Linked DNA regions of Oryzias latipes. The protein of the gene in region 2 purifies or fractionates together with the protein of the main gene of each other region. This does not show direct contact. Links are inferred from orthologs where the notes say so. Each region holds a gene or a part of one and is shown on either strand. Other genes may lie near its edges.

Region 1 (10,284 bases), on a different chromosome or scaffold from region 2:
CAGCACAGCTCAGCAAACCCAGAGATCCCAACAAAGCCGTCCAGATTCCCTCCAGCAGAGTCAGGAAGTCCAGCTTCAGCAAACACGTGCACGCGTTTACACGTGCACAGAGGACATTCATGAATACAGCCATGTCAGCGTAAAATCAAACCAGCTAATTAATTATCCATCCAGAAACATCCGACCTCACCGTTCTTTAAATGAAGGAACCCACTGCGGGGGTGGGGGGTTAGATTTGAGTGTGTGTGGATGGGCCCCACCCTTTTTGATAAACATCTACATTGTAAAGTCATGGTGATAAACTTCCTGCAGCTTGTTGCCTCTTTTTGTTTGTAAAACAAACAAAATGTGTTTCTTGGTCATCTTCCAACTATTTTTTACCCCCTTTATCTGTCCTGCCCCCACCCCCCCGTGTCTTCAGTCCAAAAACGAAACGCTCACAGCTGTCATGAATAAAGTTTGTCCTCAGATCCAGAAGGGGTTTATACTAACAGACTCCTCCTGTGTCTACATGACCCCCAATGGTAACAGTAATGTCTGGTCACCACTAGAGGCCCCCGCTCAGCTGATAGATGACCACATACAGGAAAAAAAACAGCTGCTCTTACCTGGAACCTGCAGGAGGACAAGCAGAAGCCCCCCCGCCCCTACTTTGGGTTGGGGGGCTTTCATACCTGCTAACAAATCCCAGCAGGAAACCGTGCACGTACATGCACTGTGAGCACTTCAGCAGCTTTAGTTCTAACCAGCAGCGCTGTGAAGGCCGGTGACGGACCATGTTGACCTGCTGACCTCCAGACAGATTCCATGAGGAACATGAACTTTCTGAGAACTGACGGACGTTTGGTCATCAGAGTGTTCCTCAGAGATTCCCTGATGAAGATCCTACAGAGGAGTTTAAAAACCGACGTTTTTTTTCAGTTTAACCTAAACAACAGACGTTGTTTCATCCTGTTTCTGACTTTATGACTTTTTTTTAGACAAATGTTATCAATAAATGAATCCTGACTCCCCCACTGCATCCTGTTTCTGACGTTATTGGTTTCATCAGGACAAATTTCCATCTATCGATGAGTTTGCTGATCAGACAAACGTCAGATCAATCATATGTTCTCCAGTCAGCACCACGCGCTCTTTTCCTCGCGCACTCACCTGACTGTCGGCAGCCTCTCCCCCTCCGGCCCCCCCGGGCTCCGGTAACTTCCTCCGGCTCAGCTCCAGCAGGTAAAACAGCGCTCCCAGCCACACCAGCACTGCCGCGAGCGCCGCGAGCCTCCGCCACGCGCGCATCGTTCCCGCTCCGCCCGCGAAGAGCCGGTGGCTTCGGCCCGCGCGCCGTCACAGCTCCATAGTGAGCTCGCGGAGCTCAGAGAGCTGAATCGGCGCGAGCTCTCTGTCAACTCTGAGCGCGAGCGTCTCAAAGACACGCCTGACAGCACGTCCGCGTGCGTGCCAGGCGTTTGGGCGCGTGTGGTGACCATTCCCGGTAGTTTCCCATCAGGACCCGCGCGGGGAGGCTCGGTTCTAGTCTGACAAACAGGAAGTCCCGCTCGGTTCGGTTTGGAAGTGAGTCGCGAGGGTCTGACAGGACCCACAGTCTCAAGAGGACACCTGCGCGTGCTCGTGCGTGTTGGTACGCGCGGCAGTGGAGCCCGAGGAAAGGTGGAGGAGCGCCACCTGCCGAGTCCGGTGAGTACTGACCCGGAGAGGCTTCTCCAGAACCGAACTCTGTTCACGCATGAAAGCTGTGGTTCTCCGGAAGGTTCTGGAAGACCGACAAGCCCAGAGACCCTGACAGTAACGTTTGTGGGTCATGTTTCTATTGGCGGCCGGTTCTGTTTCTGTTCGGTTTGGTTCTGAATGTTTGACCAGAGAAAGTTACAGAAATAAAATAAAAACGTTTTAAAAAACGAGAATGAAACAACAAAAACGATCATAGTGAAAAAAATGTGAATAAAAAGTCCGTTTCACTGAACTTCCCACCGAACAGAACCTGCAGAACTGAAGCGAACCCAGAAAAACTTTTGTCTGTTTGGCTGGAGCGCCATCTAGCGTTCGTGCAGAGAACTTGCGGATTCTGGGTCAGAGTTCGGTTGACGTCCCAAAATAAACCCGAATGATGACGAACACAAACGACATCAGTCCGAATAGAAAACGTCCGTCTGTCTGGATGTGTCACATGAATAAAAAATGTTCTCAATTGTTTCTATCGCTTTGCTTTATTTTATTTATTTTTCTATCGCTTTTTGGGTTGAGATATTCAGATTGTTTCCTCAGACATGAAGAATTTAACCTTAAATGTGACCTTGCTGTTCCTCCAAAAGAGTATGCTATTGTTTTTGATGCAGTTACTTACTACTGAAATCTGTGAACTCTTTAAAGATACTGTACTTGATGAAAATATCTCCTTCTTATCTCTAAGTGACACTCCTTCTTCTTTCTCTTTGGGCTTTTCCCATCAGGGGTCGCCACAGCGAATCATCCTTTTCCACCTCACTCTATCATGAACATCTTCTACCCTAACATTAGCCAACTTCATGTCCTCTGTTAGGACATCCATATATCTCCTCTTTGGCCGTCCTCTTGCCCTCCTGCCAGGCAGCTCCATCTCCAACATCCTTCTACCAATATATCCACTATCCCTCCTCTGAACATTTCCAAACCATCTCAGTCTGGCTTCTCTGACTTTGTCGCTAACACAGGCAACATGAGCCGTCCCTTCTCTAAATCTACCAACACACAATGCAGCTCCTTCTGACCTTCTCTGTACTTTTCCAACAACATTCTCAAAGCAAAAATGGCATCAGTGGTGCTCTTACGGGGCATGAAACCATACTGCTGCTCACAGATCTCCACCTTCTTCCTAAGCCTGGCTTCCACTACTCTTTCCCACAGCTTCATTGTGTGGCTCATCAACTTTATTCCTCTATAGTTGCTGCAGTTCTGCGTGTCACCCTTGTTCTTAAAGATCGGAACCAGAATGCTTCTCCTCCATTCCTCAGGCATCTTCTCACTCTCTAGAATCCTATTGAACAACCTTGTTAGAAATTCCACTGCTGTCTCTCCTAAGCACTTCCATACCTCCACAGGTAGGTCATCAGGACCAACGGCCTTTCCGCTCTTCATCCTTTTCAGAGCCTTCCTAACCTCATCCTTTCCAATCTCTGCTACTTCCTGCTCCACAACAACCACATCTTCCTCCCTTCTTTCCCTGTCATTTTCCTCGTTCATCAGCTCCTCAAAATACTCCTTCCATCTTTTCTGTACACTCTCCTGGGTTGTTAGCACCTTTCCATCTCTGTCCTTAATCACCCTTATCTGTTGCACGTCCTTCCCATCTCTGTCTCTCTGTCTGGCTAGCCTGTACAAGTCCTTCTCTCCTTCCTTTGTGTCTAACCTGTCATATAGTTCATCGTAAGCTTTCTGTTTGGCCTTTGCCACCTCTCTCTTCACTCTACGCTGCGCTTCCTTGTACTCCTGTCTACCTTCCTCAGTCCTTTCTACATCCCACTTCCTTTTAGCCAACCTCTTCCTCTGGACGCATTCCTGTACTTCCTCATTCCACCACCAAGTCTCTTTACCGTCTTTCCTCTTTCCAGATGACACACCTAGCACCTTCCTACCTGTTTCCCTGATAATCTCTGCTGTAGTTTCCCAGTCCTCTGGAAGCTCATCCTGACCACCCAGGACCTGCTTCAACTTCTGCCTAAATTCCTCACAAGTTTCTTCATTCTGTAGCTTCCACCACTTGGTCTTCTTTTCTGTTTACCCTCTCTTCTTCTTCCTGACCTCCAGAGTCATCTTACACACCACCATGCGGTGCTGTCTGGCTACACTCTCTCCTACCACCACTTTGCAGTCATTAACCTCTCTCAAATGACCTCGTCTACATAGGATGTAGTCCACCTGAGTACTCCTACCTCCACTTCTGTATGTCACTCTATGTTCCTCTCTCTTCTGGAAGTAAGTGTTGACTACAGCCATTTCCATCCTCTTCGCAAAGTCCACCACCATCTGTCCCTCCAGATTCCTTTCCTTCACACCAAACCTGCCCATCACCTCCTCATCACCTCTGTTGCCCTCACCAACATGCCCATTAAAGTCTGCTCCAATAACAACTCTCTCTCCTCTGGGGATACTCTCTATGACCTCATCCAACTCACTCCAGAATCTCTCCTTCACTTCTAACTCACAGCCAACCTGTGGCGCATACCCACTGACTACATTCACCATCACCCCTTCAATTTCTAACTTTAGGCTCATCATCCTGTCTGAGACTCTTTTCACCTCTAGAACACTGTTTACAAACTCCCCCTTCAGAATCACACCTACCCCGTTTCTCTTCCTATCAACACCATGATAGAACAGTTTGTATCCTCCTCCAATACTACGTGCCTTGCTGCCCTTCCACCTTGTCTCCTGCACACACAGTACATCTACCTTCCTTCTCTCCATCATGTCTGCCAGCTCTCTGCCTTTCCCTGTCATTGTGCCAACGTTAAGAGTCCCTATTCTCAAACCTATGTTCCTGCCTTTTCCCTTCTCTCTCTGGCCACGGACCCTTCTGCCTCCCCTCTTTCTTCCACCAACAGTAGTCAAATTTCCACCGACACCCTGTAGGTTAACAGCATCGGTGGCGGTCGTTGTTAACCCGGGGCTCGACCGATCCGGCATGTCTAAAGTTTTGTGGATGATTCGCATGGTTATTTTGGCAATTTTTACGCCGGATGCCCTTCCTGACGCAACCCTATCTATTTATCCGGGCTTGGGACCGGCACAGAAGTAACTGGCTTGCAACCCCTGTGGCTAGATTATCTCCAAGTGACACTAATGTTGGAAAATCGTGTTTCAACTAAAGAATAACAAGATCATACCTGTTTCAGCAAAATGTCATTTCGGTTCCTCTGCTGTCTTCTACTAGAGAAATCTATTTCTGACTTGCCCTGGAAAACTTTTGGAGCCTGCATCAGAAATGACTAATTAATAACAAGATGAAAGATGTCTCCTACAAACATCTACATAGAATCTATCCCACTAATCAATACATGCTAAGATATTGGAACGACCTAACCGGGACGTCACTTTAGCGGGGAAGCAAGGTCAAGCTGCTAAAGAAGAGGCTTCATTGGAGAGCTGTCTGTGCCTCATACACCGCAGACGCCGGACAGTCTCAAAGACTAATAAACAGGAAAAGAACCAAAGATTCCTTTTCTAGATCAGGTCAGTTCATTCAACCACACTTAAACAGCCCAAACAACATGGAGGTCACTTCTGCTTCCAGCCCTCTCACTCAAGGTTTCCCCCCCAAAACTCCCCACTTCCCATGAGTCTTAGGGGCTAAAGGCGGGGCTAACCCCCAGGTCGCTACAATATAATAAGATAATCGACTCCAACTGTACCTTTTGTAAAAGAACAACCAGAAAACAATCAGGCACCTATTTTGCACGTTTTATAAATCACAAATTAGACTCACAATTTCAGATGAAATTTGAATATATCATATTTGGCCTACATGAAAAGAACATAAAATCAAACATAAAAGTAGCAATTAATCTAATTATATTTATTAGGTAAGTTTTCATTTACTATATTACTATACATTTATACTTTACTCGTACTCTCTGAGGTAGATCTGATACATTTATTTATACCATACATACTATACCATTACTATACATTTTCAATGCATAGTAATGTGTTTTTGTAAAATTTCTTTTGTAATACATGTAGCATCCCCTGGCATTGTTATGACTATTGATCTTGTCATGCATATTTGTTCTATTTGTTTTGAACAATAAAGTTCAAAAAAATATTCAGATTGTTTCAGAAAATCAAGGACGTTTTCAGTAACAACAGCGCCCTCTGCTGGCCGTTCGTGATACGTTGCGATGAAGAAATCTTTGTTTATCCTCTTTTCCGGTAGGGGGCGATAAAGAACCGTGAATTACGTCAAAGAACCGGAAGTTGATGTCCGTCGGCCAGCATCCGTTTCCGCTGCTCCGATGTAGGAGGGATCGGCTCTTTTGAGCTGTTTTTCTTTTTATTTCTTTAAAATCTGATCTGTGTGGCGCTTTTGGAAGAAGTTTCGTTCGTAAGGGAGGTGCGCGGTGGCTGCTGGGTAAGTTTGGAGGGCGAATGACGGCGGTGAGCGTGAGGTGAAGCATCACTCCGTGGCTTCCTGACGGTGGCTGTGGGTTAGCCTAGCGGGAGCTAACGTCTGGTGTCCGGCAGACCATGAGCAACAGCCACCCCCTGCGGCCGCTGGCCTCCGTGTCGGAGATCGACCACATCCACCTGCTGTCGGAGCAGCTGGGCGCGCTGGTGCTCGGGGAGGAGTACAGTGACGTCACCTTCATCGTGGAGGGGAAGCGCTTCCCGGCGCACCGGGTCATCCTGGCGGCGCGCTGCCACTACTTCAGGTAAACAAGCGGCGGTTCTAGTCTGACGGAGAACCCGCAGAGCGCACGGGGACGTTTACTCACGTCATCGTTCTAGAGTTCACCCATAACGTTCCTGCGGGTTTCAGGACTTTAGGTTCTTCAGGATCCATACGGTTCTCCATCATATTTATTCATGGGGTTCTGTGTTCTGGGGAGAAGACAGGTGGAGCGTTCCTAACAACACTTATGGTCCACCACTGTGTATTATGTGGTTCTAGATACAGGTTATTGCCTGGTATTCTGGAGGACAGCTTTAAATCAAGGAAATAAGAATCAGTATTTTGACAGAATCAAACGTTTATTCAATGAAGTGATCAGAAAGATCAGTTTGACACGTGTCTTCCTGTCATGGTCTTTGCCCCCGGGGGGGTAAAGAGGCTGTTTTAAGGTCATTTGACTCTGACTGTTCCTTTCTGTTCTGTTTGCATCATGGATCTGATGGATTTGTTAGCTCAGATTGACCTGTTGGGTCTCATGGATCCGTTAGATCCGATAGACTGGTTAGACCTGATGGATCGGTTGGATCCGTTGGGTCTGATGGATCTAATGGCTCTGAGCTCCGGGGCGTTCAAGTGTCCTTCACATTAATGTTGGCGTGGCCCCTTCAGGGCCCTGCTGTTCGGTGGGATGAAGGAGTCCCAGCCCCAGGCCGAGGTGCGTTTGGAGGAGACCCGAGCTGAAGCCTTCTCCATGCTGCTGAACTACCTGTACACGGGCCGGGCCAGCCTCAGCTCTGCCCGGGAAGAGGTTCTGCTGGACTTCCTGGGTCTGGCTCACCGGTACGGCCTCCAACCTCTGGAAGACTCCACCTCCGACTTCCTGCGGACCATCCTGCACATCAACAACGTCTGCCTGGTGTTCGACGTGGCCTGCCTGTACTGTCTGAGCGCGCTCAGTGCAGCCTGCTGCGCTTACATGGACAGACACGCCCCTGAGGTGCTGAACTCAGACGGGTTCCTGACGCTCTCCAAGGTAAACTCCTGTTCATACATATTAATCTAACGAATGCAGCTGAAGTGTGAGGAAAAGTATCAGTATCACCTGGACCGGTTCTGCAGCTCATCAGAGACCGGATCAAACATTCAAACAGAAGAACTTCTAGATACAAATGTTTTCATCTGTCTTGTATATTCCTGTAAAAATTCTTCCTAAAGCTGGCTTCATATTCCTTCCTTCAATCCTAGAGACGTTTCTTCTCCTTTGGTCTCAAATGTGTAAATATTTGTTGAACCCACAGAGACATGGAATATTTGTTTCTATTGTGGTTCTTCAAAGAACGAGTTCTCTAGAGGCCTTTCATGTCCTAGCCCCGCCCCTTCCTGCTGTCAGCCTATGGTACTCTGGAGCAGGTGGTTGTGTGTCCTCACTTCCTCTTAATGGGGGGGCTGTGTGCAGGTCGCTCTGCTCACCGTGGTCCAGCGGGACTCCTTCGCTGCCACGGAGAAGGACATCTTCCAGGCGTTGTGCCGCTGGTGCCGCCACCACCAGGATGGAGACCACACCCAGGAAGTGATGTCAGTGGTGCGCCTGCCGCTCATGACGCTGACGGAGATGCTGAACGTGGTGCGACCTTCTGGCCTCGTGAGTCCGGATGACCTGCTGGACGCCATCAAGACCCGCTCCGAGAGCCGCAATATGGACCTGAACTACAGAGGGATGCTGAGTGAGTCCCCGCCTCCGTCGCCGCCTTTGGTCCTGCCCCTCAAACTCACAGCAGGAATCTTGGAATCATTTCAGTTCCGGAAGAGAACCTCGCCACCATGAAGCACGGAGCCCAGGTGGTCAAAGGCGAGCTGAAGTCGGCGCTGCTGGACGGAGACACTCAGAACTACGACCTGGACCACGGCTTTTCCAGACATCCCATCGAAGAGGACGGCCGGGCCGGCATCGAGGTCAAGCTGGGTCAGCCGTCCATCATCAACCACATCCGCCTCCTGCTTTGGGACCGGGACAGCCGGTAAGGAGCTGCCGTCAGTGGAGACGTTCTCCGCTGTTCTGCTTTTAACGCCTGCTGCGTCCGCAGCTCGTACTCCTACTACGTGGAGGTGTCCATGGACGAGCTGGACTGGGTGCGGGTGGTGGACCACTCCAAGCACCTGTGCCGCTCGTGGCAGAACCTTTACTTCACGCCACGAGTCTGCAGGTGAAGCCGACTCTGAAGGAACGAGCGGCCCGGTTCTGCAGGAAGAAACTAAAAGCTTTTCTCCGTCAGGTACGTCCGCATCGTCGGGACCCACAACACGGTCAACAAGGTCTTCCACCTGGTGGCCTTTGAGTGCATGTTCACCAGCCGCTCCTTCACGCTGGAGAACGGCCTTCTGGGTAAGTTTCACTGGTTCCGATTCCGAGAACCGCTTTGGTTATGGTCCGGTTTGATTTACTGTGTAGAACGGAGGAGCAGAATCCTGAATGTTTACATGAAAACGGTATTTTTCTGGAGTTGAAGGGGGATTGAGTCATGTCACGGATCAAATGTTCGCTGATGGAGTCCATCCCTTCATCTGCTGCTTTCACCTGCAGTTCCTGCGGAGAACGTCGCCACCACCGCCTGCTGTGCCAGCGTCGTGGAGGGCGTGAGCCGCAGCAGAAATGCCTTGCTCAACGGTGACACTCGCAACTATGACTGGGACTCGGGGTACACCTGCCACCAGCTGGGCTCCGGAGCCATCGTCATCCAGCTGGCGCAGCCGTACGCCGTGGGCTCTCTGAGGTAGATGTGATCCTGACGCCCGCCGGTCTGCTGAAACGCTCTGACGGACAGAACCCTCCCCCGCTCTGCTTCAGGCTGCTGCTGTGGGACTGCGACGAGCGCTCCTACAGCTACTACATCGAGGTGTCCACCGACCAGCAGCACTGGGTCCGGGTGGTGGACCGGACCAAGGTGGCGTGTCGGTACGGAGTCGCCTTCATCTTCGTCGCTTTGATTCCAGACTCGGGATGGATTTTCACCTCTTAATAAATAATTGATTTGTGTAAAAACATCAAAGAAAGGTCGTTAAAGTGAAGCAGATCAAAGACGTGAGGAAAGCATCAAAGGTTTCTGCGTGTCTGATGAAGATCATGTGGTTCCTCCTCTGTCTCAGATCCTGGCAGACGCTGACCTTTGATAAGCAGCCCGCCTCCTTCATCCGCATCGTCGGGACTCACAACACCGCCAACGAGGTAACGTCTCACCTGCACCTGCCCCACAGGGGCGAGCAAGGGCAGAAGAGGGAGAGGGGGTAGATCAGGAAAAGAATGGAGGCAACAAGCGGTGGAACAGGCGGAGTGTGTGTGGGTGTGTGTGGGGGGGTCGCCCTTTGGTGTTTGACATGCCCGATGGGTGCACGTACGTGTGCACGTGTGTTGATGCCCTGTGTGCGTTTCCTGAAGGTGTTCCACTGCGTTCACTTTGAGTGTCCGGCCCAGCTGGACACCGAGGTCACTGAAGGTTCTCCGGGTTTGGACCCGTCGGATTCTGGGGGGGCCGCCCCGCAGCAGCAGCGGTCCCAGCGGGCCTCGCGCTCCCACAGTCTGCTGTCCGGCCAGCCCTCCTCCTCCTTCTCCTCTGCACCTCTCCATTGAAAGAAGCCCCTCCCCTTCCGCAGACAGGTGTTGCAGCACCTGCCGTGCTTTTTGCACAGACTCCACCGCTCAGATTGCACTGTTACGATGCTGCCGGACGCTCCGCCACAGCAGCGTGGAGCGCAGCTCTCGTCTTCCCTGGTCAGTGTGGACGGTTCATGGAGGTGAAGCGTGCAGCCGCAGGAAAGACCAGCGGGGGGAGGGGTCACATGGCATCAGACATGTTTTTCTAAACAATGACCTGAAAAGAATATTTCATATCGTCCAGTCAGCAAAGCCG
Region 2 (10,184 bases):
TGCAGACTTGACGTCAACAATGAATTGCATATACTTGTAATTTAATTATTGTGAGTTTGTAAAATTAGTCAAAACTGTGGATTTATGTTTGCTAAATATATAAACTAATTCATGGATTGAAGCCAGTTTACAGGAAATATTTCTATGATCTATGAACCAATGACACAACAGAAAGAGGAGATCCAATGTTTAGTGGTTTTGTTGTGAGTCTGCTCTCTGTACTGTAAAAGACGAGTTTATAACAGCAGGAGTCACCATGGTAAAGGCCCGTACACACCGGGACGAATATTCGCCAGCGTTTTTCGCCACGTTTTTTGTGTTCACACCCAGGCGATTTTCGCTGACGATGAGCCGAGCGAACATGCAATTTCATTCCCTGACATTAGATGGGGCTTAATGTAAAACAGAAATACTCCTGTACACAAGGTGGCGCTGCGCAACTTTAGGCTTCTTAAAGTCGCTTTTCCCTCAGAAAAAGAAAGCAAGTATTTACGCGCTTGTCAGAATAATTCAAAGAAAACATGAATATTTCAAGCACCAGTAGCTCCAACTGGTGCTTGGTTCGGGGATATTATAGAATGTCCGTCATTATTTCTTCGCGGCTGTGTAGACGCTACTTGGCGTCTATCTTCTTCGCTGGTATGTGTGCTCAGAAAGGCAGTTTTGTGTTTGAGCGCCCCCAAGTTGTGTTTTACTGTAACTTCAGAAGCTCCAGACACGTGTGCAAAAGCGCCATTCTCATTGGTCGAGTAGATTTAGAGGCGACGCGTCAAACCAAAAAAACGAACCCGAGGCGTTTTTTAAAAAGTGACGCTTTGACGCGTGGCGTTTTTTCGCGTCGGTGTGCACACTCACATTGGTGCCCTTTGTCTAGTCACGAGGCGTTAAACGTCGGCGAAAATGGCGGGCGAAATTCGTCCCGGTGTGAACGGGCCTTTAGTGCGGGCGCTGCAGCAACAGATTCTGAACCGCGTACTTCACTGAAATCCTGCAGATTTCTGCACGCCACCGCCATGCCGCCATCTTTGTCTGAAAACCGCAACCTCACAGTGTTGTAAATGTATTTTCTGCCAGTCCTTTCACCATCGTCACCGTTTCCCCCCCAACAGCACAGCTGAGCAGGACTCTGCTCCCCCCCAGGACAGCTCCGGCCCGGCTGCGGCCCCTGCTGCTGCCCCTGGCCCGGCTCAGCAGCAGAGGGTCTCCGTTCATAAGCCTTTCACCCAGTCCCGACTACCTCCAGACCTGCCCATGCACCCCGCCCCCCGCCACATCACAGAGGAGGAGCTGCGGGTGCTGGAGGGGTGTCTGCACCGCTGGAGGAGCGAGGTGGAAAACGACACCAGAGGTGGGTCCCACAGGACAAGATGGAGCCTGAAGTCTGGTCTTGTTGTTCTTGACACTGTGCCCCCCCCCCCCCCCCCCCCCCCCCAGATCTGCAGGGCAGCATCAGCAGAATCCACAGAACCATTGAGCTGATGTACTCGGACAAATCCATGATGCAGGTGAGCGGCTGACATCCAAACACTCAAACCGCTGCAGGACTTCTTTAATGTTCCGCTGCTTTGTCAGGTTCCATACCGACTTCATGCGGTTCTGGTCCACGAGGGCCAGGCCAATGCGGGCCACTACTGGGCTTACATCTACGACCCCCACCAGCACTGCTGGATGAAGTACAATGACATTTCAGTCACCAAGTCGTCGTGGGAGGAGTTGGTCAGGGACTCGTTTGGGGGCTACCGCAACGCCAGCGCCTATTGTCTGATGTACATCAATGACAAGAAACCCTTCCTCACTGAAGGTACAGATCCAGTGGGGGGCGGGGGCGCTCTGTGTGTCAGAGCCTCAGACTTCAGCTGTTAAAGAAGGTTGAGTTTAGTTTGAGGTGTCGTTAAAGGAGGCTTTTCCTTTTCTGGCCTTCAGTTCCTGTTCTCAAGTCCTCTGTTAACACAGGAGTTCTGTTCAGTACAGCACAACCAGAATCTGATCCCCTCTTGGTTTCCAGGGACATTTATCTTTTTTTTGGTGAGGGGGGGGGTTTCATTTATGAGCCCGAAACCTTTTTTTTTGCATCTTATTGGTTGAATGCTATAAATCCTTCAACCCATTGTTTGTTTTTCTTTCTTTTAGTATATTTTGCCATTTTTTGCCGTTTAAGTCCTTCTACAAATTTTCAGCTATTTTAACCATTCAACTATTCAAATGTTCAGCTCTTTCAGCTTTTTGCAGCTATGAGTTTTGGTCCTTCAAATCCTTGAACTTTTCAAGATATTCCAGGATTATGTGGATTATATGTCCTTTTCAATATTCCTGGTTGGTGGTGTTATGGCATGAGACATGCACTTTGGTGCACGACTTCACCAATTTGATATCTGGAGCTTGCATTTTTCCACAAACATATCTTTTTTATTATTGTGCTGTTTTCCCTCTATTAATGGTAAACTTTGAGCATCTCCATCTTTCTTGTTTTTTTTTTCTGCCACATATTACCCTTTAAGTTTAATTTTCATTCACCAATATAGCATTCAACCCTGCATTTTCTTCTGGAAATGCACCTCCTTCTAGTTTTTAAAATATCACCCTGTACCCTGTATAACCAAAATGCAATGACAAACCTCAGTTTTCATGTAAGGGTTAATGACAGACTAGTTGTGTTTTATCAGAAGAAGCCTGAACCGTCTTTTTGAGGGATAATGCACACTTCAAAGGCCATTAACCTGCTCATACCATGCTCACTGACAAAAAAAACAATATTTAATCATTTTTTAGGACTTTATTCTTGTCATTTTTCTCAGTTTGGATCGCTCAATCTATTTGTTTCATGGTGCGTTACGTTGTCACGGTAACGTGGCACCGCTCCGCTTTGCCGGCTGGGCCAGCACGGATCTTGGATCACCTCTTAACGCTTCTTTTTTTCCAGATGATGAAGCTAAAGGTTGTTTTAAAGAAGCCAGAGCAGCGATACAGAACAGTTGAGCTATGTGACCGGAACTTCTTTTTTAGGTGTCCATTATGTAAGGGTTAATGGCCGACGAAGTGTGCATTATCACTTTTTAACGCACGCCGTGAAAGCCTTCGCGTCGGACGGTTGCTTCAGCAAAGTGCGTTAAAAAGTGATAATGCACACTTCGAAGGTCATTAACCCGCTTATACCACGTTTACTTACAAAAGCAATACATAGGTACCAGTTTTAAGTCTCTGCCCAACCGTTAAGCTGACTTACTGTGGCGGCCCCTAACGGTGGAGGCTGAAAGGCGGAGGAAAATCGTTTTCTTGACTTCATTCTTAATGCTCTCACTATGATCTATGAACCAAAATCGCTTCTTTTCTTAAAATCCTACATTGTGTTTTGCCGGATTCTCTTTATTTATTTATTTTTTTACAAACTGTCTTTCACAGTTGAAGCATCAGTGACTGATGGATGCTTTTTGGTTCCATTTTTCCATATTGGATATAGTCGGACGGCTGAACAGGGCGGTCCCTCACTTCTCCCTCCTTTGTCCTTCTCTTGCAGAGGAGTTTGATAAAGAAACCGGTCAGATCCTGAGCGGCATGGACAAACTGCTTCCAGACCTGAAGCAGTACGTGAAGGAGGACAACGAGCTGTTTGACAAGGAGATTGAGGAGTGGGATGCCCTGCAGGCTCACAAGGCCCAGCAGGAGAAGCTGGCGCTTGCCGCCGCAGCAGCAGCTGCTGCAGCTGCTGCATCATCCAGCACCTCCACCTCTTCTCCATCCCCACAGCCCATGAGCATCGAGTCCAGCCCCCCCGACAATGCAGGTTAGTGACAGAAGACTCAGCAGAAAAACCAAACTGAGCATGAATCAGCATTTCAGCTCTGCTCTCTGTATTTTTAGAAGTCTTATAGCTGGAGGGTTGATGCCCCATCACATTCTGAGAAGGAGACTGTTAATGTATGATCTGTTTCCACTGTCTGTCTTGAAAAAGTGATGGTTAAAGCATAAAAAATGCTCTGTGATGCTTTGGGATGCTGGATAACATCAGTTTTAGGACACACTTGTCTGATGGAGGCTTTGCTCCCCTGCAGCCCCCCAGCAGGACCCAGAGTACATGGAGCAACCGTCTCCAACCAATGACTCCAAGCACCTGCAGGAGGACACTGAGAGGGCCATCTCCAGGGCTGCTGCTGAGCAGGGGGAGAGGGGGCCAGAAGCCCTGTTAAATGCTGTATGTACCATGCAGACACAGCACCGCCACCCATCAGCTGGAAATGACTCACTTTACCCCCATGATCACTGTCCTACTGTTTATGAGCAGCTTTCAGCTTTATATGAACATGAACACCACACAGTAGTCCTGACTAAACAGGTCAAAATAGAAAAAGCAAAGAAAGTTTTCCTGCAGCAACTTTCCTGATCCACAGTCTGTTCCAAGCAGAGCAGGCGTTTCTGCACAGACTGTGTGCAGAAAGACCTACTGAGCTGCAGGAGCTCCAACGTCTAGTGTGTAAAAAGAGTAATCGTTCTGCAGCCAAAGTTATTATGATTTATACCATGGTCTGGGTGAATACTCTGTTCTGATTGGCTGCTGGGTGTACGTTAAAAAGTGATATACCACAGTGATAACCGCACGGTGAAAGAAAAAGTTCCGGCCACCTAGCTTAAATGTTTTGTATTACTGCGCCGGCTTCTTTAAAACAACCTTTAGCTTCATCATTTGGACAAAAACAAGCGGTAAGAGGTGAACTTTCTCTCTGAACTGATGCTTTATTCAACCCATCGGAGAGATCAGCACATATATATCGCTTTATATCGCCGAATCTTGACTGCAGCGGTGGTGCGGCGCGATGTGGATGCCGCACCACGTAACAAATAGTCAGCTTTTTGTGAGAAAAATGATCCAAATCGGGGGAAAAAAAAGAATTAAGGACTAAAAACTGGTTTATATTTATTGCTTTTGTAAGTGACCATGGTATAAGCGGGTTAATGGCCTTCAAAGTGTGCATTATCACTTTTTAACGCACTTCGAGGAAGCAACCGGAGGGCGCTTCAAGCTTCCACGGCGTGCGTGAAAAAGTGATAATGCACACTTGGTCGGCCATTAACCCTTAATCCTCGGAGATGCTGCCAGCAACACTTAAAAAAAAACAATGCTCTGACATATAACCTATCGTTCACATCAACATCGTGAGTCATATGTAGAATGTAAACACTGGAGCTAAAGCTCTGATGTTAAAGTGATGAAAAAATATCAGCAAACTGAAACATCAGAAAGTAGATCTGTGACCTCTGGACACACAGACGGTTTCCAGTCTTTCTTTTACTTTGAAGCATAAATTTCAGCTGATGAAAATCCAAAGCGTTGTCAAAAAAGCTGGAATCCTGTGAGAAGGTAGACCTGGGGGCCTTGGGGGGGGTGGTCGGTCTGACGCGACCCTGAAAGCAACAGAAGCAGGACATGGAGATGCCCTTCAGCCCCTCCCTGTTGGCTCTAGTTCTAATCCTTCCAGTCACGCTGCTGTTTCCTCTGTCGCCCTTTTTCCACAGTCGCCCCCCCATCCCTCTTTTCTTCAGCCAGAGACCCAGATGAGCGCCCCCCCCAGCCCTCCCTGTGAGCAGCAGCTTGCAGAGGAGGAGTCCCTAGGCCAGCGCACAGTAGAGGTGGCCATTCCCAACGTGGGGACGTTTGTCATTGAGTCAGAGGAGGGGGGGTACGATGACCAGGTGTGAACCACAGGGGAGTGGATCTGCTGCTGTGTGCTGACCTCAGCCTGAGGATGTCATTCACAGACACTAACACCCCCACTCCCCCACCCCTGCGTTTTCTGAAGTTGCTCTGCATCTGGGGGCGCTCGGCTTTTTGACAGACCTGTTGTGTTGGGGCTCTGAAGCTTCATTGGGGTCATTGCTGTGTACAGACCCCCCCTGCCGCTCTAACAGTGCATGGACGGCTGGTGTCTGCATGCTCTAACAGCACAGATCGCCGTGACGACCTGTTGTTGTGTTTAACGCGGCTCCTTCTTCCTGGTTAGACGATGATGACCCCCAACATGCAGGGCATCATTATGGCCATTGGCAAATCCAGCAGCATTTATGAAAAGAGCGGTCCTGAGGCAGCCTTCTTCAAGGTACTCCCTCTCTCCTTTCTGCCCCCCCATTCCACTGTCATTCTGCTGTGTTTGCTCATGTCTGACGCTGTTCCTCGGTGACGTAGACGCTGAGTGAAGCTCTGCCATCGCTCAGAAAAACACCCAACTCCTTTTGCTATCTAGCTTGATCCACCCGTCTGCAGTTACACTTCGGGTGGGACTGAACTTTCACATTCCACCAGAAATGACCGAAAGTCACACAAAAGTGTCGACTCGGATGAGCTGCAGAAGTCCAGACTGTGAGCCTGATCTACACTGGTCCCACTGCAGTGTGTCTCCATAAAGTGAAACGTTCATGAATCAATCAGAAGGTTTACATTACAAACATACTCCGTCATGTTTGCGTCTGACGCTCATCCTTCTGCAATGAAAGCTTCCCATAGCAGCCATTTCCAGTCCATTAACGCGTCAATTTTGTGGTTAAAAAGCCAGAAAAACATTTGTTGTACTTCAAAAATATATACCATTTTATTTTAGAGTTAAGGTGGCGTCCCAACGGTGACACCATAAATGACACCAGCATCCTTTTTGCCATGGACGCTGAAAGTTTAATATAGGTCGTTCATGACAAAAAACAGACTTTTTACAAGGACTCAGTGAGGAGAGGGTATGGGGGCTAAACCCACCCCTCCTCTGGAAACCGGGGGGGGGGCTGGAGACGCAATGAAGTAAAGTAACTGACGGTGGTGAGACGGACTCCCAACGTAATGCAAGAGCGAGACGCCGCAGACAGATCAGCGTGAATCCAGCGTTAGTCCTTCCAGAGGTTTGAGACTCCGCCCCACCTCAGAGCCTTAACCCCTTCCTCTTCTCTGTCTCTGTCAGGCCATAAAGTTGGAATACGCGCGACTTGTGAGGTTTGCCCAAGAAGGCCCGACTCCTGAGAACGACTACCGACTACAGCACATTATCGTCTACTTCATCCAGAACCAGGCCCCAAAGAAAATCCTGGAGAGGACTCTGCTCACTCAGTTTGCTGACAGAAACTTGGCCTTTGATGAGAGGTGAGTCAGAAGTTTCACCCACGCCAAGAACTAGAACATCTCATAAAATCCCTCTGCTTCTCCCTTCATCAAAAAAGGTATCAGATCAAGATAGTTTATTCTGACCAATAGAATGACTGACTGAATAACTGCTGTTTACTTCTCTGTGGAAGTCTACAGCATTTCAGCTTTTTGGGGACCCTCTGGTACTTCCTTTTCTGAACACCAGGGGGAGGGGTCACTCAGTCCAGTTCTATTTTACAGTCAATGGTACATTTATGAAGAACACCGACTTCACTGAAGCGCCTGTTTAAACATGTTTGCATCACAAACTGCTGTTTTGAAAACAAGTCTTGGACTCCAGCAAAGTTCTTCTTATTTAATGAGTTGATCTTTAAAACCTATGAGCTTCAGACGGCAGAAATGTCTGTTTCACACATTAGTGTCAAACAGTGGTTGTCCTCACAAATGACCAGCAGAGGGAAGCAGAGTGTCCACAGCAGCAGCTTCTGACAGTCTATAACAGGGGTCGGGAACCTTTTTGGCCAAGAGAGCCATAAACGCCACATATTTTTAAATGTAATTTCGAAAGAGCCATACAATAATGTAGTGTCCTTTTCCCACACTGAGACTTAACCTCTTTTAAGGTTCTTTATTCTGGTTAATGCAGGCTGTAACAAATGCCGTAAATTAATTCAGCAGCTCCTGAATCTCTCCCGCCGAGACGAGAGCGCTTCTCCCAACTTTATATTCCCCTGCTCCCGCTCCAGCCCTCCCATTTCCCTTATTCGGCCCATAGCTGAACCCCATTGGTCCAAATTAACTAACAACAGGCTGAGCGACAGAACTGAGAGCCAATCAGATCTCTGCTTGATGCGTTCAAGGAACTCCAGAACTTTTAACGCGGCCCAACAGCCAAGTTAAACTCAGTCCGCGACAATATGTTTAAAGCTAAATATACAAATGAATGTGTGCATTTGATATAATTTCAACACTTTTAAAGGACAATAAGTCTGTGGATTATTTTTAATAACGTTGTTATTCTGTTGCTAATAAATGATCAGTATTTCTCGTGGTAGTTTTGCTGATGGTCTAGTCTGGTTGATCCGTGGTGAGTTTCTGCTTCATGCAGGCGTTGAGACTTTAAACGTGATCGTAGGTCTGAATGTTCTGTAAATGTGAGACAGACTGCTCACATGCAGACGGGGAGTCAAACACACACTCACACACTGCAGTGAGTGACGGGCAGCAGGTTTTACGTTTTTACAATCCCTGCGCGATTCACCTTACTGACCGAGCCCACAACTCCACCCCCACCCTCTGCTTTCTCCCTCTCACATCCCGTCCCCGCTACTGCGCGCTCTTTCTCAGAGACGGGGGCGCGCAGTTTTAGGCACGGCAATTCACAGGTTTCCGGGTGGTACAAACTCTGTGAAATAATAGATAATAGTAACTGATAGCGCTGGCGCAGATTTCTCTCTCCAAGCACCGCTACTACTGTGCGCCTCTGGCATCGCATCGCGCCCGAGAAGGACTGGTCTAATGAAAAATAAAAAAATAAAAATGTGTCTGCGAGCCACATGTGACCATCAAAAGAGCCATATATGGCTCGCGAGCCATAGGTTCCCGACCCCTGGTCTATAAAGACGCAAACAAAGAAAAGATAAACGAGGCGTGTGTTTTAAATGTTGTTCCCTATCTTCCCGTCTGTTGAAACCTCTCAGATGGTTGGCTTGACTTCCTACTTTGAGTCAGATACATAGATTTGTGTGTGGATAAGAGCCTCCAGGAGGATGCTTCAAATCTCCTTCATGGCATCTCAGAAAAGTCCATTTGGTCATGTTGAGGCCTTGAGTCGAGAGTCTCACCTATGAAGCCCCTAATGCTAACTGCTGCGTCCTTCCTGTCAGGTGTAAGAGCATCATGAATGTGGCGCGTGCTAAACTGGACCTAATCAAACCCGAAGAGGTCAACATGGATGAGTATGAGGTGAGAAATGCAGCAGTGGCTGATCTGAGCTTTCCTTTGCAGCATTGGTCTCAGGAATTGTGGCTTTTCTCTTGACAGACGTGGCATCAGGACTACAGGAACTTCCGTGAGACCACCACCTTCATGGTGACCGGTTTGGAGCTCTTTCAGCAGTCAAAGTAAGGAAACCTCTTCCAGCTCATCTGGAAGTCTGTTTAGCACTTAGGAGACAGACATATTTGAAAAAAACTACATTTGTTTAATGCTTATCTTAAGAAATTGTACACAAACCAAGAATTAAATAAGAAAAAAGTTTAACTTGATAACTGATGCCACCAATTCTACAACAACTCCTCAAATAAACTGCAAAGCATGTTTCAAGTACAAATGCTGAAGCTTAAAGGATAGTTAATAATAACTATTAATATTATAAGTTCATAAAGTGGGCCTAAGTGGTCAGCATTCCCTGCAGGAAATTCAGTTTCTGGTTTCATTCGGCGTCTTATCCCAGCTTTCCAGCAGGGGGCAGTGTCCTCCAGTCTGTGTGTCCCAACGGTCGGTTCATCGAGTTCTTGTTCTGTGAAACGGTTCCCTCCCTGGAGTTCTGGGACTTTCTGTCATAGTTTTATCTGTTTTTAATGTCTGTTTATGCTCTGCTTGCAGTTATGTGGAGGCCCTGATGTATCTGGTTTACTCATACCAGTACAACAAGGAGCTCCTGTTGAAAGGCCTGTACCGGGGCCACGACCAGGAGCTGCTGGGACTTTACCGCAGACAGTGTTTGCTGGTGAGGACTGCTGTCAGGATATTGGTTCTTTCTGGGGGTGGGGGGCATGCACGGGTCTGATCAGTCTCCCAGCTGCACTCGGTGACCTCACAGCTCGTCACGTAATGGCGGGGAAGGGGAGGGGGGGGGGTCCAGTGAGCGTGAACAGGAGACGGCGGCGTGTCCCAAGCTAACCTCTGGCTCCGTCCTCACAGCTGCTCACCTTCAGCCCGTTTTCACTGAAAACTTCTCTAAACGGTTGAGAACAGCCAAAACACGCAGCTCCTCTGAGAGGAGGTCAGCGGGTTCGTTCCAGCAGAGCACTGGGAGTCAGAGGAACAGCCCAGACATGGTCGC
Region 3 (10,284 bases), on a different chromosome or scaffold from region 2:
TTCCTGAGGAACATCATAGTGATGACTGCAATAATGGCAATAGAAGGAGAAACTAATTTGCATATTTTACCCTTTTGCTTATGCTAAATAAAAAGTGGGGTGATCAATGAGTTATATCGCCAAAGGAGACATCAAGTGATTCCTCATAGGAGGAGAGCACCGCCATCTTGGTGAGGTCAAGTCACTGCTGCACTGCATTCATGTGAACACATTTTTTGCAAAATGCCAGTTCATTGTGTGGGTTTCAACCACCATAATCGGAGAAATTAGTCTATGAAGGAAGAAGGCATAACATTTGACAGGTAAGAACTATAATTATTTTCTTTTAAAACTGCAGGGGCTTCATTAATAGTACACATGTTGACATGCATGATCATGCAGGGCTGTTATCAACATGCTGAATGATGTGCGTATAATTTGCAGTCGATATAAATGTAAACTTTATTGTGTTAAACCTAACCTATATACAGTATACTAGGACTAGGCTATTATAGTAATATAGATTTATACATTTCTGACTCAGTGACTGAACTTTTCTTGCAGGTTTCCTATGGATTCAGACTTCAGGAAAAAGTGGATCTTAGCTATCAAAAGAGCTAACCCAGATGGATCATTGTGGTACCAACTAGCAATACAGTCGGGCTATGTTCCAAATATTTGTGGAAACAGATTCTGATAAGACTGCTCAGACTGTTCGCTTGAAACCCGGCACCATACCATCTGTGTTACACCAAATTTATCACTCACAGGAACCAGTAGTGTAAATCTAATGTTTTTCTTTGTTTTTTTAGGGTAAATCTATTGTTAACTTTTGGACTTTTTGTTGACTTATAATTTATTTATTTTTATAATTATTATTGACTTATTATTATCATTATTTAATATTGACTTGTTTTTTATTTATTGTTATTATTATTGACTTACTATTGATTTATTATTATCTATTATTATTAATATTTTTATTAATGACTTATTGCTGGGCTTTTCTAAATAATTTAAATTACATGTCAAAGAGGTCTAAAACTTCTAAATGTTTAGAAATTATTTGTAAAAATTCTTTGTAATAATTTTTTTATGTGTAAGAAGTCCTGTAACTATGCATTTTTCATTAAAGTTTGAGCTTTTAAGGCTGACTGTTTCTCTCATTTAACAACAACAAATGATGTATATATATAATATATATGTATAAATATAAATATATATATTATATAAAAGCTACTTAGATGCCACTAAAGGCTATAGAAAGGATTGTCATGTGGGCGCCAACGACCTCACCAAGATGGCGTCGCGCTCCGCCACCGATGGCAAGGCTTCCCAAGAGGGCGTGTCTCCTCTAGCGATATAACTCATTGGGAGTGATATATAATATGACTTCTAAGTTGTTAGTACAAAGTTATGCTAGCCATGGTAAAAAATAAAATAAAATTAAATTTAAAAAAAAGCAGTGGAATTACGTTATAAGGTGACGTGAACAGTCGCAGAAGAGCATGAGCATGGCCAAGAGCTGCTTGGACTCTTCAGTGTCATTATTCAAACAGTCCATGAAGAGTTTAAGGCCCCCCTGAGGTCCGAGCTCACAGATAAAGGCCCACAGTTTGGGTAGAAGGTCATCGAGATGCGTCAGACCTGCAGAGAACAGAAAGGTAGGAGATAATGTGAAATACAGGATGTTGTTCGTGCTTGTCATAAATTGCAAAAGGCTCAGGTTTTGCTACTGACCGGTGAGGATCTGAAGGCGTATTTGTGTTAGTGTGGAAAGAGCGGTCTGGTAGAGCACACAGATGCTGCACACCTTCTGAACTTCAGCTGAGTCAACTCGCTTCCCCCCAACGGGTTTCAGAATATTCCGGACAGATGCAGACTTCTGAAATGCTCTTTTGAAGAGGCCTGTTAACACAGTCACGTGCCTTATTCACCAATGTTTAGTGAAATACATCATAATTGTGTTTGAGTATTGAGTGTCTTTTGTACTTTTGACTGGTAGGTTGTTCTGTGAAGTGCTTGGCTGTGGGGGTGGGGGAGTGGGCTCCTGACTCTCCAGCTTTTTAGACAGGACATCACTGAAAAGTGTCCGAATTACTGACACACCCCAAAGATGCTGCAGCTGTTTAGTGACCAGTGGCATCGACTCATTCAGTCTAAAGACAAAAGAAGACACTTTTAAGATGATGCATTTTGCATAAACGTTGGCATTATCAGGTACAGGTATTATCATTCGGTCCACAAACACCAGGTTTTATAAAAAACATATGTAATTCTTTTTCAACATGGGGTCACTTGCCTCTTCACAGCTTCTTATTATATGACTGGACATTAAATATCGATGATAACAATGAAGAAAAATAAGGAACTTGTTTTTTTTTTGTTTTTTCTATAACAGTAAGCTTGATAAATGGTTTTTATTCTCACTAACCCATAATCAACTGTTTGAGAAAACCAGCCCAAGACAGGATGCCAGTGGGTTAAATTGGACTTCTTTTGCGATACATATCTCTGGCAGTAGGACAGCATGTCGGTCAGGTCCTTCACAAAATGGTTAGCCTCCTCCTCTAAGACCTTCTCGTTAAGGTAACCCAGGTAGATCAGATTGCCTGTAGAATATGAGAAACAAAAGCAACTGTTGACAGGCTGCAGGACAGGGCTAAAACTGTTAATCCACTTTTATTATATTTATATACCAAGTAGGCAGAGAGTGTGGCTGCCCTCAAGACACACACAGATGTCCAAACACTGTTCTTCCCGACTGAGAAATAAAATAAACTTCCGAAGCATGTCATGCGTCTGCATGGATGTCATGCACTGTTGAGCCAAAGGACAAAATAAAATCACATTGTTCACATAATTGCTCAAAGTTCCAATGTACATCAAGAAGAAACAGCACAAGGTTACCTCTGGGGTTAACACATTGAGGTGCGATACAATGGCAGGAACTGACATGATGTGAATGAGGAATGATCGCAGCAGGTTGTCTGAGAAGTGGGCAGCAATGACTGGCCTGCAAAATATTGGATTTAGTTCACAATTAAGCCACAAACCATTTATCCAAAACAAAAAAATAACACAGAAAAGTGGGTCAAACAAAACGTAAGCGAAAAGGACAATTGACCTCAGTGACAAGCTGAAAATAGCTGTCAGGGTGCCTTTGGAAAGAGACGGTTTCGAACGAGCCAGGCCATTAGTCAGCAAGATCTACATTTAAAAGATTGACACAAAAGATGTTTGTTTTTTAAATAAAATTACAAACATTTGATGCTGTAAAGCAAGACTATTCAGCAAAATTGTAATCGCTCAGTAAAACTATGATGTTGAACCTGTAGTACGGAATAGAAACCCTTTTGATTGAGATGGCCCATGATGTTTTCACAAATCCTCGTCAAAGCCGGTTTGAGGGCTTCCCCTGCAGTAATTAGAGGGAAATTAAATATCTGTGGGAAGTAAGAGTGTGTGACCTGCAATAACCACAGACATATTTAGATTCATAACTCACCCTTCCCTCTGACTATCCGCCATGTTGTTGTGTCAGTAAAGGTCACCAGCATTGTGAGGTAAAGTGTAATCAACTTGTTGTCTTGAAGTATGTCTGGCTAAGAATCGCCAAAAAAAAAGGTTTGAGTACCATTAAAATAGAAAATATTAATATTAAAACTTCTTTTATAGATTTTAGGCTAGACTAACCTTGAGTTTTTTCAGAAGCTGACAGCAAACCCACAACACATCTTTGATTTGTTTGAGCCAAGGAATGGTGAGATCCTTGGATAGAGCCAGAGAAACATACCAGACCTAAGGGCCAAATATGAGAAATCAGTCCCTCCAGAAAAATTTCAAGGAAAATATATATATTTTTAAAATGTTCAAGAATTAATGAAAGCAGACTCACTTTAGGTTCATTTTCCACCTCCATGCTGGCTAAGATAGCACGACAGAGCTTTTCAAATCTCTGAAACAAATGGATGAAAACTGTTTGATTCATAAAACTGGACAAAATAAAATCAATAAAATACACTCAAAAATGATTGAAATGCTTACGGAAAGGCAGCAACTAATCATTATATGATCACAATATTAAGGATTTGGATCATACTACTAAAAGTATTGGCAAACATATTTTATAGTCTATTAAAAACCATGGAAAATTTGAAAAAATTTGAAACATTTTTCTGCCTTAATGAAACTTATAATAGCAATAAAACTGTTTTATTGACAGTAAAATCCTTTTTTTAAATCCTCAATTGAACAGTACCAAGCGAAGCTAAGAAATCCAACAGGTAGTCAAAGATGACACTACTGACATGAAGATAAATTCTGATTTAGTTTGCTATTTGTTCCTAATATATTGATACAATTCTTTGATTTATTGCAAATGTTTTTGTGAGACAATATTTAGGCAAGTTACCATCTTGTCTTCCTGGCAAAAGATAAAAAGTAATTTCCGAGCAATTTTAAAAATTGAAAGTGCATTTCTTTTTGTTGCTCCCGTTTCAGAAGTTTGGAAATAATCATCGACTTCTTTCCTGTGAACACATAAGATTACAAAGTAAAACTATGATGTGTATAGAACAGTATAGAACATGGATAGAACAGTGAAAACTGAAAGCTGCACCTTAATTCCTTCTGCAGCCTGCAGCGACACAAGAATCTTCTTATTAGAGCTTGAATTTGGGTTGCTGCTTTTTCTTTCTCCTTTTGCCCTTTCCTTTCTTCTCTGGCCTGCCTGGCTTTGTCCAGGAACTCAGACTTGGAGCTTTGAGGCACACCAAACATTGTTCAGTCTAGGAAAAAAGAAAGGGCAGACTAGCTGATATACCTAAAAGGCAACCGTGTGTCACCAAGACAGTGGTAATAGCACATTGATGAAGGTGTAAAGGCAGTCTTTAAGAGATAAATTACACAAAAAAAGAAGTTTGCTTGTTCAAGTGGCATGAATAAAAGCTTAACATAGCAATTACCTGTGTGATTGTGAAGGTGAGGTGATCCTGCTTGGCTTTTAGCCTCATCTGTCGCTATATCCTCTCAATCACTTGACTTCCCTTGATATCCATGTTGAAAATAAAGTCTAACAAAACACGAATACTAACTTGCCATCTTCTAAAGCAGGGATCGGCACAGGAAAAACAGAGTAATAACAATTAGCTACAGGCTAGTTCGCAAGTTATCGTCTTGATTGTAACACCGCAATAGTTTTTTCGCTAAAACCTTTAAGTATAATATTTACTTAGGAATAATACCTGACACTGTACCGATGACAGTCTCTTTAACGTATGGAATGCACTGTTCTGAAATGTAAACAAAGAGAAAAGATCCCTGCATAGACTGCAGCCATAAATCCCTCGTTCAACATTTTTTTGATTCCGGGTAGTTTTTTATGTTGTTTTTTTTTATTCCGAAATAGAATCTACTGTGTGAAGTTAGATAATAGCAAATGTGTTTTGGGATACACATACTTATTTATTTGTTATTATTGTTTTGATTTTATTAGTAGTATCTTTTTAAAAATAATTTTATGCTGTCGGATCTGAACCAGGGGACTCTTTTCATTGTTACTCCATCAAGCTTCATCCAGAAAAGGCGTTTGTAGCCTTGATATGTTTTTTTACTTTCATTTATAATTTACACGTACATTATTGTTAATGATTAAAGTGTAAAATTAATTATTTTTCATTAGGCTGGTAAAACACGTATAACAGTTTTACCCCTCATTAAAGTTTCTGTTTCTTTAAACTGTGCTGCTTACGTCATTTTTTTCTAACTGCGCAGCGGAGCACCGGAAGGAAGTGGGTGTTAGCTGACAAAGGTTAGCAGCTTACATTTCGGACGCTTGCTGTGGGTTCTATGGTAAACTTCTTTTTGTTTTTCATAAATACCAAATATTAACACCGTTATATATTTATGTATGAAATACTTGTTTTTACTCTGTGCTAGTTTCCACTTTAAACTAAACTTTTGGTTGTCTTTGATGCTAACAAGCTCGCTAATGACCGTGTAGGCTGCTCTTTGATAACTAAGTGTAAAAGATTTAAAAGCAAGAAAAAGCGAAAAATAAAATATAAGAAAATGATCTACAGTTGTCTCAGGCATGCCACAGTGAATACTTTTCACTTTTGGAATGCAATCGGTAATGTAACTATTGCTATTTAAAAATTGTTCTTTTATCATTAAGTGTCAGTAATGTTACAGAGAACATCAGACACTATTCATAAGGTGTGTCGATTCATATTTGTTCTGTATCAATATCTCTGTCTGTAGATAAATTAAATGAGTAATTTAAAACCTATCTGGCGGACAAACTCGTAATTGTTTATAACATAATTTAAATAGTTAGTCATTAGAGTTTTCTTTAAGAATATCAGAAGATGATGATGGTGATAAATTGTATGATCACAACTTAATAATAAATAATAGACTAATTTTGTCAAGAGTAGCCAAAAAGGTATTATACATATGTTGAATCTGCATTTTTGTCAGCCTTTTTTATTCACTTTCTTATTCGTTCTATATATATATATTTGGAAATATAAAATATATATTTCCACATTTTTTTCTTCATCCTATATGCATAGTTTGGTTTTTAAATACTATGACACAAAGGCATTTTCAATTTCTCAATACTATAAAGGTTATATTCTAGTCTGATACCTATTAAGCTGCAAAAACATTGATATTCCTCTAAATTGAAAAGCTTTTCAGGGAAGGCAGAGGAGGTTATCAGTTACTTGATTGTCTTCTAGCTTTTGTCCTCCAAACTGTAATCACTGTTTTGACTTGTTCTCTTCCAGGAAGAGATGTCAGGAGAGAGTGTGGTGAGCTCGGCAGTGCCGGCAGCTACAACACGAACAGCGTCCTTCAAAGGATCCAGCCCCAGCTCAAAGTATGTGAAGTTAAATGTCGGCGGAGCGCTGTACTACACTACAATGCAGACACTAACAAAGCAGGACACAATGCTTAAAGCCATGTTCAGTGGCAGAATGGAAGTGCTCACAGATAGTGAAGGTGAGCTTTAAATAAAACTTGATTTGTTGTTGCCACCGCTGCTTTTTTTGCTGTGTTACACTCTAAACGTTTTTCTATGATAGGTTGGATCCTAATTGATCGCTGTGGGAAACACTTTGGAACAATCCTTAACTATTTACGAGACGGGGCTGTCCCACTGCCAGACAGCCGTCGAGAAACAGAGGAACTGCTTGCTGAGGCCAAGTACTACCTTGTTCAAGGACTTTCTGATGAATGCACAGCTGCCTTGCAGGTACCATTCCAACACTTGTCTTTTAACAAGTATCAGGACCGGAAATTTGCAGTTTCAGTTCCCACTGTGGCTCCCCATGTATTGGATGTCCCCTTGGGCAGGACACTGAACCCCACATTGCTTCTTGTGGTCTGCTTAACGTCTTGCATGGCAGCTCTATCACCATCAGTGTGTAAATGGGACTTGAGACTGTGATGTACATTCAAGAATGCACAAAATTGGAATTCTTGCGCTTTTTGCAATGGTGTTCACAGTGGACTGTCATTACCCCAAACCACCCCATGTACTTACAGCTAGAAGAGGCTTGGTGCAAAATGGTCCAAATCTCACGAATTTTGCTTCCAGCATTTTCTTTCACAGCTCTATGCTGATATATGAAAGATTTGGTGTCATAATTGCAGCTGGGCAGAAAATACAGTTATTAATATCTCCGTCATGATCAACTTTCAAATGGGTAGTACTTCCGTGAGTTGAAAGGAACGCTACCCAGACGTCACGACCAAATCCTATTCCCAGTTTGGTCAAGGTTCAACTGGTTTAACTTTCAATGTGCCTCACTGGTCTTGTATGTAGAATCCGAAGATGAATGTAAAAACTTGCACAGGGACCCGTGTATGCAGGGTCCTGAAGGGCGTATATACGCGTTTACACAGACTGTTCATTGAAAGTGGTCACTTGAACACGCATCTGTGACCCCGGCGTAAACGTAGCATGAAATGCATTGGGCCTTAATACAGACAGAGAAGCTCTGTATAAGTAGACGCCATTTGAAAATAGGTTGCAAATAACCTGTTTGTATTTTTTCACTTCTTTCCACAAATTTTTTAAGCACGATGGTTAATCTGAATTACAACATAGATTTATTTTAGTTAATTTACAGCTTCTTGGCTTATGACAGGGTTTTTTTAAATTTAGTTTTTCTCCTTTTTTTAATGAAAATGTCTTTCTTCCAGAACAAAGAAACATATGAACCTCTATGTAAAGTGCCTTTGATGACATCGTCTAAAGAAGAGCAGAGACTTATTGCAACTTCAAATAAGGTGAGTTCTATTTTCTTGTATCATTTGCAGACTGCAATTGTCTTTAGTTGTTATTTAGATGTTCTATTTAGTGAACAAACTTTGTTTTTATTCATTTTTTTTACAGCCAACTGTAAAGCTGCTATATAATAGAAGCAACAACAAATATTCATACACCAGGTGAGTCCCCGTCTTCTTCTAACACATTTTCTTCCATTTCATTAATAAAGTGTGTCGCCTTCTGACATCATGCTTGATGCTCTTCTCCAGCAATTCGGATGACAACATGCTAAAGAATATTGAGCTGTTTGACAAGCTGTCTCTGCGGTTCAATGGCCGAGTACTTTTCATCAAAGATGTGATTGGAGATGAGATCTGTTGCTGGTCGTTTTACGGCCAGGGTCGGAAGATCGCTGAAGTGTGTTGCACTTCCATTGTGTACGCCACAGAAAAGAAACAGACAAAGGTAAAAACACTGGCCCCTCACTTTTTTATGCTCTTTATGCAAGAAATTCCGTTGAGTTTAATAACATTGCATCTCTTGTTATACAAAGGTTGAGTTTCCTGAAGCACGAATCTATGAGGAGACTCTCAATATCCTTTTGTATGAGTCTCACGACGGACGAGGTCCAGACAATGCTCTGCTGGAGGCCACAGGGGGCGCCGCCGGCCGATCTAACCATCTGGACGAGGAAGAAGAGCGGGAACGAATAGAACGAGTTCGTAGAATTCATATCAAACGTCCAGATGACCGCACTCACCACCATCAGTGACTTTCCTCTTCTGACTCGCCAAGCCGCATTTCTGAGCTCGGATGGTCTGTGTGCCGTGCTTGTGCCTTATAACACAGAGGGCTTCACTTTCTGACTTCCTTTCTTTTATCAGCCTTTTCGAGAAGGAAATGAGAGTGAATTTGATCTGTTTAGTGATGGAGTGATTTTGTGTTTTGTTTCTTTGTCTTTTCTTCTTAAGCTGTAGCATTTCGTATGTTAGCCACAGCAGGAGCTCAGAGGTGTGCATGTCTGCAAACAATTTCACCAGCCTGTGTGAGTGAGCGAGAATTGACAGTATAAGTCTTTTTTTTTTATTTAATGGTATTATTAGTTTTTGATTTATTTTGTATATTTTTTAAAGGGGGGGTATATTTATATGACAATATCTAAATGAAGTAGATGAAGAAGAAATGAAAATGGTTCAGTTTTTTTTTTCTAGTTGGTTCTTTTGGGTTTTGCTAGAAAGTCTGTAGAAGCTGCTGTTGTTCATTTGGAGGCCACACGGGGGCACTGTTTCACAAGTTACAAGCAAGGCCCACCTTGTAGCCTGCCAGATAGTAAGCTTTCCTAAAATTAAAAATTATATATTACTAAGATATCAATTGATGCATCGTTTCACTGTATAGCTTCGGTTATTTGTATTTTCAGTCCACAAAACAAGTCATATTTTTACAAAGCAAACCTGAACACTGACTCTTGTGTGTTGAGTGCTCTGGGTTGAATGATGTAATGAGTGAGTGTCACTGGAGATCTTCCTGGCAGGAAAGGAGCCCTGTTTACAAGCTTTTAACAGGGAGGGAAATTAGACCCGGCTTTCATCATTGCATTCATCAAAAAATGTATTGTTTGCAAACTAAAGGTTGAAGTTAAAATGTCTCATTGCAGTTCTCACAAGTAGGTTGTACAAAAATGAACTCAAGTGTGTGTTTTATATTTATACCTTATATTGAATAAATTTGTACAAAGAATTTTGTTTTAAATTGTAATGTTTATTCTATAAATGAACATTTCAGATGATTACAGTTGGATTTGGGGAAAGAAACATTTTTAAAACTTGTTGTTGGTTTTGTCTCGTGTTTTTGGCAAGTATCAGTGTTTCATACTCATTTAAACCAGCTGAGGGTTTAGTACCACCTGGAAGCCAATCTCAAAGCGCGTTACTTTCTGGATTAATCATCAATTTACGGGCATCACAGAGCGGACACTTGCGCTTATTCTAGTTCCAAGCACTTGCATATAATTGTTTCATGTA

What was found.
Region 1: the proteins of usp25 (region 2) and btbd9 purify together in Homo sapiens (affinity purification with mass spectrometry; 3 studies listed by BioGRID and IntAct, counting the BioPlex papers as one, with this or other methods). This does not show direct contact. The link is inferred for Oryzias latipes from reciprocal best matches to the Homo sapiens genes USP25 and BTBD9.
Region 3: the proteins of usp25 (region 2) and kctd10 purify together in Homo sapiens (affinity purification with mass spectrometry; 4 studies listed by BioGRID and IntAct, counting the BioPlex papers as one, with this or other methods). This does not show direct contact. The link is inferred for Oryzias latipes from reciprocal best matches to the Homo sapiens genes USP25 and KCTD10.

The regions. Positions count from the first base shown.
Region 1 is NC_019882.2:592,724-603,007, forward strand, and holds the start of btbd9 (BTB/POZ domain-containing protein 9), read left to right. Parts: upstream 1-5,880; 5' UTR 5,881-6,118; intron 6,119-6,231; 5' UTR 6,232-6,234; coding exon 6,235-6,419; intron 6,420-7,048; coding exon 7,049-7,412; intron 7,413-7,835; coding exon 7,836-8,103; intron 8,104-8,177; coding exon 8,178-8,397; intron 8,398-8,463; coding exon 8,464-8,583; intron 8,584-8,652; coding exon 8,653-8,762; intron 8,763-8,960; coding exon 8,961-9,150; intron 9,151-9,224; coding exon 9,225-9,332; coding exon of another isoform or gene 9,333-9,396; exon of another isoform or gene 9,397-9,431; intron 9,432-9,523; coding exon 9,524-9,602; exon of another isoform or gene 9,603-9,614; intron 9,615-9,812; coding exon 9,813-10,004; 3' UTR 10,005-10,284. Other genes in the region: polypeptide N-acetylgalactosaminyltransferase 14, read right to left, coding at 1,153-1,290.
Region 2 is NC_019872.2:2,551,304-2,561,487, reverse strand, and holds part of usp25 (ubiquitin carboxyl-terminal hydrolase 25), read left to right. Parts: intron 1-1,109; coding exon 1,110-1,348; intron 1,349-1,434; coding exon 1,435-1,505; intron 1,506-1,572; coding exon 1,573-1,801; intron 1,802-3,514; coding exon 3,515-3,781; intron 3,782-4,049; coding exon 4,050-4,189; intron 4,190-5,508; coding exon 5,509-5,685; intron 5,686-5,993; coding exon 5,994-6,089; intron 6,090-6,935; coding exon 6,936-7,114; intron 7,115-9,003; coding exon 9,004-9,082; intron 9,083-9,160; coding exon 9,161-9,240; intron 9,241-9,724; coding exon 9,725-9,848; intron 9,849-10,184. UniProt on the Homo sapiens protein: Deubiquitinating enzyme that hydrolyzes ubiquitin moieties conjugated to substrates and thus, functions in various biological processes including inflammation and immune response.
Region 3 is NC_019867.2:13,219,134-13,229,417, forward strand, and holds kctd10 (BTB/POZ domain-containing adapter for CUL3-mediated RhoA degradation protein 3), read left to right. Parts: upstream 1-5,714; 5' UTR 5,715-5,829; coding exon 5,830-5,832; intron 5,833-6,773; coding exon 6,774-6,987; intron 6,988-7,070; coding exon 7,071-7,240; intron 7,241-8,193; coding exon 8,194-8,280; intron 8,281-8,386; coding exon 8,387-8,439; intron 8,440-8,529; coding exon 8,530-8,725; intron 8,726-8,813; coding exon 8,814-9,032; 3' UTR 9,033-10,000; downstream 10,001-10,284. Other genes in the region: ube3b (ubiquitin-protein ligase E3B), read right to left, coding at 1,455-1,626, 1,720-1,887, 1,972-2,138, 2,414-2,591, 2,679-2,799, 2,890-2,995, 3,107-3,189, 3,312-3,397 and 5 more. UniProt on the Homo sapiens protein: Substrate-specific adapter of a BCR (BTB-CUL3-RBX1) E3 ubiquitin-protein ligase complex. The BCR(BACURD3) E3 ubiquitin ligase complex mediates the ubiquitination of target proteins, leading to their degradation by the proteasome.